2 linked regions of the Zea mays genome follow. The main gene of each other region encodes a partner of the protein of the gene in region 2 in a complex. Links are inferred from orthologs where the notes say so. Each region holds a gene or a part of one and is shown on either strand. Other genes may lie near its edges.

Region 1 (6,260 bases), on a different chromosome or scaffold from region 2:
GTACTGAACACGAACCTCAACCTTACTATGAGCACGTTCTGTGAGACCCATCAGGTACGACAATGTAGGCGTTGAGCAAGCTATAGGGACTCATACGCCGGCTGGACAAGACAGAACACCATACCAAGAGTGCAACAACACACGACCCGTCAGAAGGAGCATGCCATATGCAAGCATGCCCCGAGACTGACCAATAGACCCGCCACGCACTACCGTGCAAGGCATTAGCTACAGAACTCGCTCTCCCTCCCTCTCTCTCTCTCATAGTCTAATGTAAGGACTGTCCCTTGAAGTATAAAAGGGAGTATCTCTCACTCTGTTCGAACACAAGCACACTTGTTGTAACACGTCTCTAAGTAATACTACGATCAGCACTACACTGGACTAGTAAGAAAGCCTGAACCAGTATAACCCCTGTGTTTCAGTTCTTTGCTCGGATCCACGTGATCCACCATTTAGAGTGAGTCCGCGCTTGCATCCCATCGAACACAAATCTATTGTCCCCTAGTTTCCGAAACCTCAACAGTATGGTTTCTATATACTGTAAAGACAAATTTTGTTTAAATGAGATATTTATTCAAACACAATTCCGATCCATAGATTCCTAGATCGTGTCAAGGAGAGACAACCAGGGACTAGGACAAGATCAACACATGCACATGCAATTGGAACGTCTACGGATTAAGCCAAACCAAAGCCGAGGTAACCATGCAATAATGTCATCCATACCAACGCAATGGATATTGTGGTGCACCTTGCGTGGACCTAAACGCGGTGGCACACATCTAAGGTCGATATGATTCAAAGTGGACTCGTGCTGGTCCAACCCCAGAGAATCGTGCCGTGATTGGACCGTCTTCTTGATCCACAATGCCGGCCCATCCTGACACGATTGGATTTTTATTTTCAAATTATTACTTTACATATATATTTATATTTTTCCTTCATTTGTATAGCACGAACAAACAATAGCATGACTAGTTACGAAGACATTCACACTTTTTTTTGAAAACCGGAAAGAGGATTGCTTGTTATATTAAAAAGGAGATGAGCGCATACAAGGGCTAGAGTACGCAAGTCCACCACACTAGGAAATGAGACTAATTATGGTGGCACAAATGTCCCATGTCAACCTCCCCCCCTCCCCAAAACATACAACAGGCTTGCTAGGGATTTACTCCTTAATCATCGCTATAGTCTGTGACACGGTCTTTTTCTAGTAGAGATTATTGTGAATCTAGACCACCACGACTTTTTCTACATAAACAATTATGATTGTGTATCTAGACATAATTTGGAAAATATCAAAACAATTTATAATTTGGATCAAAGGGAGTACATGCACTAGCTGAAATTAAAATGCAAACAACTGATTTTTTATAGGAAGCAAACAATTGAATTAATAGAAGCTTACATACATAAGTTCACTGACTATATCTTACTATCCAAATACTGTAAAATCATAGCGTTCCCCCCTGCTCACGTGCCACGGAAGTTGAAAGGATGGAAAGGCTGTGATTCAAGAAGGTGAGTGCAGATTCGCAGTCTGAAATAATCTTGGTCACAGATGAAGGCTCATTAGAAGCCGACAGTGAACCAGCAGCCATTGCAGTGTATGAATCTCGGAGGCTCCTCAGATTTCCCAAGAACTGCAAAGTCAGGTATAAATAACCAGGTCAAAAAGCATGTTTCGTAGGTTAGAAACAGGCACCCAAAAGACAGAACACAATGCACTATCCAATTGGAGAGAACATGGAATGAAGGATCCTGAGAAGATGCCCACTAAAGGTAAAGTGATATGGTATTGAGTGTCATACAATTTCAAGACATGGTATTTCAAGAGATATCGTATTGTAAAGATATGGTGCTCAATGCTCAGTAACTGCACAGAAGCTGTAGTTATCAAAGCAGGTTAAATTAGTTCTCAACTTCCAGCAGAAACACATTCTGTTTTATTCCTGTTGGTTACACTGTCATTGGGTTAAGCTTGTCACAGTCTGCAGGTCAGTGATAGTAAAGTATCAAGAAATGAACAACATGACCAATCAGTGAAGTGGACATTCCAAAATTACCTTTAAAAGGGTATTATATGCCTCCAAGAGGCGATTAGCAGCTGGACCGAAGCCATGCAATTGTGGCACTTCCATCATGTGGGTCCAAGGATGGATTTCCTATATTATGACAATTTAAATCACCTTTAGTATAGAATTGTTCAGCACTTAAAATTAATAATCAGCAACAGAAAATATGCTAAGGATACCTATCCAGTGTATATAAAAAAGATATGGGGAAAACAGGAATTGCTGCATAAGGTAGTCACCTTAGTATATATTGTGTTGAAGGATTTAACCGTTTCCAAAAATGATTGCAAGTATTCCCTCAACTTCAACTCTGTCTCCGCATAGTCTTCATTTGGATTATAATCATACTGTCACAAGCAACTACGAAGTTAACTTAAAATAGCATGATACTGACTACTAAGGGAAGAGCAACAAACAATATCATATACACACAAAAAATTAGAGCATGGTGTACCGGAAAGTTATTGATTATAAAACTAAGTTAAATGATCATATGCTTTGAAAGATAACATACAACTGTGAAAATATCAACAAAAAACTTTAGCATGCAGGTTGGGGTGTGAAGCAACAAACAAGAGGTCGCAGTTAGCTCTGCCTTTGATAATTAATTAGCAGCCTTTATAAATTTCAAAATGTAGAAAACTGTAAAGCTAGTGCAGAAAAAGTCTGTCCAAGTTTCCGTTCATACATAAACCATCATTAATTTGGGGGAAGTGGTGCTGAACTTAAAACATAAGTACAGTTGTATATTCTATTATACCTTCGATGCTAACTCCTGAACCATTTGCTGCAGATTAGACATCTTTTTGGTATACTCCGAGAGCTTTAACTCTAGTTCAGCAATATCAGGCCTACAAAATGAGAATTGAATTCAAATTAGAAAATTTGAGGTGATTTGAGCAATTTTGTTAGTTGAGGATCACAGGGCGTCAACAAAGATTCAGACCAACAGAGCAATTCTGTAGGCACATGAAGCACCTAAACAGTACATTTGGCAAGTATTTAAATTGGAAGTACTTACAAGGGGTAAATTGATTGTATTTGAACATCCGCAGGGAAAAGCTTGCACTCCTCTGAAAAAATTTGGGCTTGTTTCTCAGCAATTGAATCTACTAGTTGCACATCCTTCTCCAATTGCTTATCAACACTACAACGGTACAAATTGTTCTCAGTACTTTATGTTAGGTACCCTCCTCATATGCAAATTATCACAATACTTTTTCTTTGTAAACAGATTTCATTTGGCATCATGTATTACGATGTTGGAAGAAAGTTTTATCACAAGCTTCCCAAGTTTTATGTATAATCAACATAGTAGGTACATTTCATTTCAGATAAAAATAATTGTGTGTAAACCCGACCTCCATTCTGGATTGTCAGCGTAGCAACTAGCTTCCACTAGGTCAACAATAAGATGGAGCAGTTCCACCCGCTCCTCATAGCTACCTCGACCCTGCAACAACGACAGTTATGAACTGATGAAAGATGGCACGCCATACATCTCAGTTTGCATTTGTGCTGTGCTAGACATCTTGGTATCTTGCATGGCAATAGCAGCATAAAATCCAGCAAATTTAACACATAACACATATAGGCCAGCCATTTCTCTCACCTGAATCGCCTCGGTGTCCGCCGAAGGTGTGATGCCCAAGAAGTTGGCTATCTCCGCCAGGTCTGCAGAACCACACGCCATGGTCAGCACCACGCGCGATCCCGGGAAAGGAAAGCATTTTAGCCTAATGATGAAACCAAAACGTTACGTTGGATCCTGTTGTTCTCCTCGTCGCGGTCCAGGCTATCCCCTTGCCAGTTCTGCTGCGTGAAGGGCGATCTGTCGCCTAGGAGCCTCCGGAACGCGCACACACCAAACGAGCAGACCGTCAGTTCCTAGCCCGAATCCCAAAATCGAAGGCCAAACCCAGCAGAGAGATCACAGCTCCCAGAAAGCAGGAGAAGCGGAGAGGAAAGGAAATGCGGCGCGTACCGGAAGAAGAGCCACTCGAGGAGGCGGTAGCGCTCGACGCCGGCGAAGAGGAGGGATTGCGCGGGGGCGTTCGCCCGCGGGTACTCCAGCAGGGATAGCTTCCGCTGGATCTCCTCCATCTGCTTCGACGCCATGGTTGCTCTCTGCTCCGCTCCGCCGCGGCGGCCGGCCGTTGGTGGGGATGGTGGGTATTGGGCTGACGGCGACTGACCAACGAGCTAGATGGTAACGAGATGTGTTTGATAGTTCCCCAAATTTTAATTTTCCTACCGATCCCTTTCAAAATTCGACGAAAGGGTCGTCGCATACTCGCATGCGTTTAGTTGCAAATCAGGATTGATTCATAAGGAGCCCGCTAATTGGGCTAAAATTCATAACTATCGGCTAGAAGGCCCAAGGCCTGCAGTGAGACCAAGTATCCGCAAATGGGCCTCAAAGCCCCACTAGCTCTCACTCGCCTCCCCCAGCCAGAAGGCGCATCCAAACCCTACCCAGCGCCCAACATATAAATTACGTGCTCCCTCTTCGCCGCCGTCTCTCGCGCCGCCACTTCCCTCCCGACCCACTATCCCAAAACCGTAGCGCCCTCGCCTGCTCGCCGCCGCCGTCGTTGCGAGCTCCCCATCTTCCTCCGTCAACCATGGCGACCCAGATCAGCAAGAAGAAGAAGGTACGCGAGCTCCTCCTAAACGTAGCGCTACCAGCCCTTCTCCCCCCTGCGTCGATGGATCTGACCTGTGCTCTTGTCCGTAGTTCGTCAGCGACGGCGTGTTCTACGCCGAGCTCAATGAGATGCTGACGCGGGAGCTCGCGGAGGACGGCTACTCCGGCGTGGAGGTGCGCGTCACACCGATGCGCACGGAGATCATCATCCGCGCCACGCGCACGCAGAACGTGCTCGGCGAGAAGGGCCGCAGGATCAGGGAGCTCACGTCTGTCGTCCAGAAGAGGTTCAACTTCCCCGAGAACGGCGTCGAGCTCTACGCCGAGAAGGTCGTCAACCGCGGCCTCTGCGCCATCGCGCAGGCTGAGTCCCTCCGCTACAAGCTCCTCGGAGGCCTTGCCGTCCGGAGGTATAACTTGATAAGACCCTACTCCCTACCAGCTAGCTGTGTGATTTGCTGATTTTGATGTGCTTGCTACTACTTATAATTTGTATATTCTTGTTCGTTGAATTGTATTTAAGTGGTAACTATAGCATCGAAAAATTAGGAATACCTTGCCTACACTACCCAAAATTTGGAATTATTAGGAGATCATAACCTATAATTTGCTTATAATCTATTTAGAAGAATTTTGAGTTGCTTAAAACTTCCAAGTTGAGACGTTAGTCATTGGTTAGAATGCTTGCACCTGTGATTATATGTTCTGCCTTCAGTTCTTGTTGGTTAGATATTGTACTGGTGCAGAAAGGAAATGCTGCTCCTTGAGGCAGTGGCGGCCAGACAACCGTTGAGACAGATCCACAGATAAATGACTAATATCCTGTTTGTCTACTAAATCTGTCTCACATTTCTTCAGTCCCATTGACCTAATAGCATAGCAACTTCATTGACCTTAATAGTCCTTTACAGTAGTTGTGCCCACTGCATGCAAATTTATCGTGTATCAAATACATTTTTCATTTTTGGCACCTATATTTATATTTACCTGCCATCTTTTATGGTAGTGGGGCTTAAGATGGTGCATAGAGGAAATGCTGCTCTTGTAGTAGCGGCGGCCAGACAACCGCTGAGAGATAGATCCACAGATGAACAATCTTTCTGCTGTTTGTCTACTAATTCTATCTCACATTCTTGACATGAATGGTACTCATAGGCTCATTAATTTTCTTCTATGTGCCGCCTTTCTATCCATCGTATCAATTTATGCCTTTGCTAATATATTTTCTTGTTTGGATGATAAAGTGTCATTGTTCGTTGGGCGTATCATTAATTCTTGTGTTAAAAAATGCTACCTAAGGTTGTTACCCTGTCCAGTATTACAGTTAGTCTAGTTCTCCTTACTAACATGCTTGTTTTGTCGGCAGGGCCTGCTATGGTGTTCTTCGCTTTGTTATGGAGAGTGGTGCCAAGGGTTGTGAGGTTAGTGCTCCTGTGCACTATGAGGGTCTGTTCATTTTCTGATGATTGGTGAATGCATGTCGACAGCCTTATTTGTTCTAATACAGGTCATTGTGAGTGGAAAGCTCAGGG
Region 2 (6,260 bases):
CGTATAACTAAGCAAGCATTGATGGTGCTATTATCCAACATGGATATACACAAAAAAAAACATGCACAAACAGAAACCCTCTGACTCAAATCAAATCCACTGCAACCCCCCTAACTCGCACCCGCTGCATTCAGGTAATAAACATGGCCTCCAACAGATGTGGACTTAAACAGCTGCGTGGTCATGGTGAGGTTTCAGGTCCATCTCCACCTGGTGAATTGTCCACTGCATGCCCTCCAGTTTCTGATGAAGCTCGACCAGGGTTAGCAACTTAGCAAGTAAAAACATACGGTAAACTAGTGGCAGCAACACTGAGCCAGATTACCTTTACAATCTCGTGGTACTGCCTCGCAATCACATCGAACCGTGGATCTACACCCTGGTACTCACGCAACCGCGAAACCTGACACCAAGAACAATCATCAGAGCAAACAGTTAGCTGGCGGAACATTGGGTTCCATGAGTTCTTTTCAGACGGAATATTCCTTGAGATGGCAGTATGGCACCGTTCTTTCTCCAGACATGTAGTTAAAAATGAAAAAATACAGAATACCATATGTCTGGTTATTGTTTATGCAACTGGAATAAACTCTACATCAGGTTAAATTGCCTACTGCAGCAGGTTAACATTAAAATCATAGGTTGTCACATGTTTGCACATTTAACCTTCCTAAGCAGGACTTTGCTTAGTCATAAATGATTAATTATAACTTGATGCTAACTACTTCATACAGCCTCAAGGTATCAGTTAGTTGTTTTTTCACTAAAAAGTAGCTGCTAGGCATTGGCTCTTAAGATTTGTACAGTTCTACTCTTCGTGAGTTGTAGCCACCAATTTGAGAGCTTTTTCTTGGCTGTTCATACAACCAGACATTGGAAATATTTCAAGAAGCAAAATCATGTATCTTACCGCTTCATTATAAGAATTGGATGCTTCTTTTGTGGCCTCTACAAGATACTTCCTGCAAAAGCAGTTAATATGTTACAAGAAGGTCCTTCGCTGAAAACCAAAGGCACCTAACAAATCAAATCCATCTTATGAATAACAAGTGCAACATGACTAAAAAAGTATATCCACTACAAGATCGATTGCCTTAACTATACCTGATCCTGTGCAGTGCTGGTACTGTGTCCTTGGTGTAAGTGTCACGCAATAGATGATGCTCCAGATAGCTGGAATCAAAGTAATATATATATATATATATAGTTAACCTAATCTTCAAATCCCTTAGCACAGGGAATTCAAAATATATAGAGAGAGAACTGTTGTATAGAGTAACAACTGTTGTACACTTATAATATGATCACTGTTGCGAGTACCAACCTTAGTTTAGCATTCATTGTCCGACACCTTTTGATAAGCCAGGTCTTCTTCAGATCATCCTGTTAGACAATGAGACATGTTAAACACTTCGACTAATAATACTAACAGTATGAAAATGTGACATGTTTACTTTGAAGAAGTTCAACCAGAGAACAGAATATGAGAATGCTTACAAATTGGTGCTGATGCTCCAATTTCTTGTCTTTAACAAACTGTATAAGCACAGCAAGAATTTGCTCCAAGACCTTTGGAATTTTCAGAACCATAGCTAATTACTTAGAGGTGCGAGAAAGAATTTGTGCCAAGGTAAAGTCAGTGCACCTCTGAAAAAATAGGCATTAGTAAAGGCATACAAACATACATTATAATGTTCAGCAAATTTTCTGTCCATTGAAGCAAGGTCCTCCAGGAGATGTGCCTCTTCCTTCTCTATCTCTTCGATGATTAATTTTACCCTGTCAAATGGGAAGTAAAAAAAATGAGGAATACTTATCAGGGACGCCTGTCCAACTTCATCATATCACAAGCTCCACATGAGTTTCCAATTCCATGGAAAATTGGGCACTCATGCCAAGATATGTTGGCTATGTAAATGGATGGGATTGCAGCAAAGAAGGGACGGTGAGATGGTATTAATATTAAATAGGTGATTGGTACAGTGTGATGTAAAATGTAAGATAAGAAAGTCTACCTTTCTGGAAGCCTAGCACTTGAAATTTGACTGAGGGATGACGAATCTGCAGCAAAGATGTTAAGGTAAGACAGAATAATAACCAGAACCAGAATTTGGACTGCTCCATCCCTCTCTCCTAATCTTCCACTAGTTTCAGTAACTGACCCCTTTCATCCATAGCAAATAGATCAGCCAAAGCATCACACTTGGCTTCTAACCGGGCTTCAATCTCCCTAGCCAAAGTTCTCTGATAATCAACCATGTCCTGTAATCAACACAAAAGCAGATGCTTTCAAAGTTCAGGTGAAGATTTTATTTATTCTTTCACTCATTGACAAAAAGGATAAAACGCAACATAGTCTAAAATTGGTTACAGAATAGTTTTGCACTTCTAAAGGTATATACCAGAATTACGTTAACCACATAAAAAAAGTAACAAGGTTTGAATTGACCATTTAGGCACGAAAAAATGTTCTTACAACAGACATGGCTGGCTGCTCTTGTTGCACTTGGTAGAGATAATCAGAAGTGATCCCAAGAAAACGGTCAGGAACACCACCAACTCCAGGTTCAACTGCATCAGAACTACCACTCCAATGTGGAGCAGCAACAGTCACCGCACTAGCGCTGCTGCTATAATTGTTGTAACTCGTCGAGATTGAACTTGAGCTGGGTGTCGCGCTTGTGAGGGTGCTATCGAATGAACTTCTTGAATAGGTGCTCAGCTTTTCGATCTCCTGCTCATGGACCTCCCCGTCCTGAGAGAGCAGTGGGAGCCTAAGCCTCTGTGCTGCCTCTGCCACGGCCAACCGGTGCTCCAAAGACTCGTACACCTGGATCAGAAGTTCAGAACCGACAAAGCTCAGCGACTGAATCAGAATGTAATTTTTGCTGGACAGTTTCCCGAACATGGTGCTAAGTCAATTGAACCAACGATGAGGAATTCCCATTGACCAACCGTGCGGAATTCCACGGTCTATTGTTCAGCTAGTACTGCCCACCCAACTCACATTTGAAGATATATTTGCACAATTGCACCAGTCAATTTAAAATGAGGACTCGTCACAGAGGAGCAGAACCTGCGGGGAGCAGTTGAGCTTCTTGCCGGCGCCGGCAGCCGCATGGTACTCCTCCACCATGGCCACCGCCTCCGCGTACACCGCCTACGGCACAGCGCCGGATCTGATGAGAACCCGGCGAGCAAAACCTAAAATGCGGATCCGACGAGGCGGGCGGGGAGTCGGGACTCACCAGTGCCTCGAGGTACAGCGCGCGCTCCGCCGCGACCTCCTCGCGCGCCTGCGCCGGCACAGGGATCAGGTGAGCAGCGGTAGGCCGGTAGGGTGAGGAGGGTGGCGGGCGCGGCGGGCGGGCGTACCTGGAGGAGGTCGGAGTGCGCGGAGCTGGAGAGGAGGGACGCGTCCGGGGCGAGGTGGTGGCGCTGGAGCTGCTCCACAAGGTGCGCCACCTCTGGCGGCGGCGGCGGGAGGGACGCTGCCGCGGCCTTCGACATCGCGGGCGGCTGCCGGCGGCCGGCGGAGGAATGGGGTTGGTTGGTTTGGTTGCACGGTAGCGTTGGTTTGAATTTGGTTGGGCTCGTGAGGTGGTGGTGGTGGGTTGGTGGCCGTTGGATCGGCAAATGGACGGGTCAGATCGCGGCCGGCCGGATGGTTTCAATGCAAGAGAAGCTTGTGAAAGCCAGCTGGTGTCACTCGTGTAGTCGTGTGAGAACTGAGGTAAAAAAACAATACAATGCTGAAACAGAAAACGACGAATTATCGATAGCGTTTGATCTTAGTAAGGCATGTGCCCATGTTCGATTATACATAAATGCATTTAGAATCGTTTCAACTAATCAAAATTTATATAAATTACACAAACAATCCGGTTAAAAATAGATCTAGGCCACCGTGGCTCTAAAGTAGTTTTCAGTCATTAGTGGGAAGTGGTGATTAACAAAAAAAATTACTGGAATATATCAAGTGCAAAACAACACGTTGGCGCAAGTTTTGAAGCTAATGCACAGTAGGAGTTATTTAAAAAAACACTTGTTTGCACGGTTTACACTAAAAAGTAGATTTGCACATGATACGTTTCTAAATTACTACAGAAGATTCTTTGTTTTTACACTAATTTTATAGGGATCGAGATAGTCTCAAATCACGGGTTCAGAAGACAGACCAGCACTACCACAATTTTGTAGATTTAATTGTAGATTTAACATAGGCTTAGCCATATAATTCTAAATATGTATTTTAAATGTTAGGTAATGTAATGTTGTGTTATATTCTTAATCTTATATATATTTGACTAGGTGTAAGCTCGTGCGTTGCTACGGAATCAATATCTCTACTACTTATTAAGTAAGCAATAGTAGTCTGCCTCTGACGTGTTCTGCCTCTGACGCGTTCTGCCAACGGCTGTTCTGTCTCCGTTAGTCCCGCGCAACAAAATAAACAATACATGCACAAGTTTATGTGCTACATTCTGTTCCGTTCCATCTCTCTCAACGTTCCGTCCCATCTCTCTTAGTGAGCAACATAGAATCCACAGCTGCCCTTATAAGCCATGTTCCATTACTCTCAATGGCCAATGTGGCACTAATAAAATAGATGGCACACACATGTGGCAGCGGTTCGTGCGGCCCAATAATTTTTGTGTAGATCTGAGGCCCATCCCATCGTGCAGCCCACTGTCCAGCGTGCAGCCTACCGTGCGACCTAATCTCCAGCGACGGCCGCGACCTAATCTCCGCCGGCGGCTCCAGCCACGGGCTCGCGCGCTTCCTCCACTGCGCTCAACTCCGGCGGCCTCCCCTCCCTCTCCTCCACCCCATCATCGCATTCCACCTCCTCCCCCACCGCACCGTCGGACTCCACCTCCCCATCGGCGGCCTGCAGCGCACTGTCGTCCTCCAACTCCTCCCCATCGGCTGCCTTCACCCAACCGGTCAGCAGACTCATGCGTGGCGTTGGTTTGCCCATCAGATCTGGACGGGCAAGACGTCATCGGGTGGATCGCGGCTGGCCTGCGGAGGGGCGCCAGGGCGGTCGAAGTGGATTTGGCACCGCCGCTACCGGAGGAGGAGGAGGAGGAGGGCGAGGAGGAGGAGGTCCCGCACGCCGGTCACGAGGCGCCGCTCTTGGAGCTCCCCGCCGATCTGTTCCAGGCCAGGAACTCACTGGAGCGGCTGGCGCTCGGTCGGTTCAGCCTCCGCGCCATTCCGCTCCCCGCGGTGGGTCTCGCCGGCCTCCGCTCGCTCTCCCTCAGCCACGTCGACGTCACCGACGAGGCGCTCCGGGGCCTTGTCGCCAACTGTCCGGCGCTCGAGCGCCTCAGCCTGAAGCGCTGCTCCCGCCTCGCCATGGTGAGCGTGGCCAGCGAGACGCTGCGGGTGCTGGAGCTCGTGGGCTGCCAGGCCTTGAAACAACTCTGCGTCGACGCGCCCGCGCTGGAGTCGTTCGCCCTGCACTGCAACGTCTTCGTCACCAACCGTGACGCTTCCTGTGAATGGGATTGGGATACTCTTGTGGATCAGATTAGCATGTTGATTCACTCAGCTGGCTCGACCCATTCAAAGACATGCCGAACCTAGAAGAGTTGCAGCTGCTGATGAACTACGAAGGTTACTGCCTTGAGGCCGTGTCCGGTTTCTTCAAGCTCATCCCACTTCCAGTCCTTCAACGGCTCTTTGTGCGTGTAAGACTCTCTCATTTCTTGGGCAGGTAAAACTCGTTTTTCTAGCTGCTGCTGCTTACCGGAGCTGAACTCCATCCGCAGCTCCATATTGATCACAAGCGGGAGGGAGAAGGCAGCTCATCGGCAGCAGTGTGGAGCGTCGAGAACGATGATAGCGAAGACATGGCACCCAAGGAGGAGATCGTCCTTGACCAGCTGACGTTCGTCAAGTTTGTGAATTTTAGTGGGACATGGTGCCAGCTGCGGTTGCTCAGCTTCTTCCTGGATAAGTCCCCTGTCCTCCATCAGCTGGTGCTGGTCACGCCGGAAGGGGAGGGAGCTCTAGGAGACGACCGACTAAAGGTCATCCATGAGCGGGTGGCCGCATTGGAGAAGGCGTCGAGCGAGGCAAGCATTACCGTGTGCCGGCCCAAGGAAGACGATACCCCGAACCATCCACACACGAGGTACTTCCACGAGGAGTATGAAACTATGTAACTATGCTATATATGCATGCATCGATCAGCCTGTAGATCAAATGGCTAAATGGAGAGGCAGAAAAAGATATATTGAATTTTGATCCTG

Evidence for each region. Proteins that work in one complex are often made in the same cells at the same time.
Region 1: AUGMIN subunit 4 (region 2) and AUGMIN subunit 7 share a complex: the UniProt entries of both Arabidopsis thaliana proteins name them as parts of the augmin complex. The link is inferred for Zea mays from reciprocal best matches to the Arabidopsis thaliana genes AUG4 and AUG7.

What each region holds. Positions count from the first base shown.
Region 1 is NC_050099.1:32,961,097-32,967,356, forward strand, and holds AUGMIN subunit 7, read right to left. Parts: upstream 4,261-6,260; 5' UTR 4,200-4,260; coding exon 4,066-4,199; intron 3,928-4,065; coding exon 3,842-3,927; intron 3,756-3,841; coding exon 3,694-3,755; intron 3,535-3,693; coding exon 3,443-3,534; intron 3,229-3,442; coding exon 3,103-3,228; intron 2,933-3,102; coding exon 2,842-2,932; intron 2,429-2,841; coding exon 2,321-2,428; intron 2,172-2,320; coding exon 2,073-2,171; intron 1,650-2,072; coding exon 1,461-1,649; 3' UTR 1,276-1,460; downstream 1-1,275. Other genes in the region: 40S ribosomal protein S3-3, read left to right, coding at 4,706-4,735, 4,819-5,138, 6,095-6,149, 6,236-6,260. UniProt on the Arabidopsis thaliana protein: Contributes to the assembly of the acentrosomal spindle and phragmoplast microtubule arrays as part of the augmin complex. Regulates the association of gamma-tubulin with the spindle and phragmoplast microtubules.
Region 2 is NC_050100.1:72,638,677-72,644,936, forward strand, and holds the start of AUGMIN subunit 4, read right to left. Parts: upstream 3,574-6,260; 5' UTR 3,511-3,573; coding exon 3,376-3,510; intron 3,297-3,375; coding exon 3,249-3,296; intron 3,161-3,248; coding exon 3,077-3,160; intron 2,831-3,076; coding exon 2,477-2,830; intron 2,263-2,476; coding exon 2,163-2,262; intron 2,062-2,162; coding exon 2,016-2,061; intron 1,780-2,015; coding exon 1,686-1,779; intron 1,570-1,685; coding exon 1,498-1,569; intron 1,384-1,497; coding exon 1,325-1,383; intron 1,174-1,324; coding exon 1,105-1,173; intron 963-1,104; coding exon 911-962; intron 404-910; coding exon 326-403; intron 244-325; coding exon 166-243; 3' UTR 1-165. UniProt on the Arabidopsis thaliana protein: Involved in microtubules reorganization during spindle and phragmoplast development.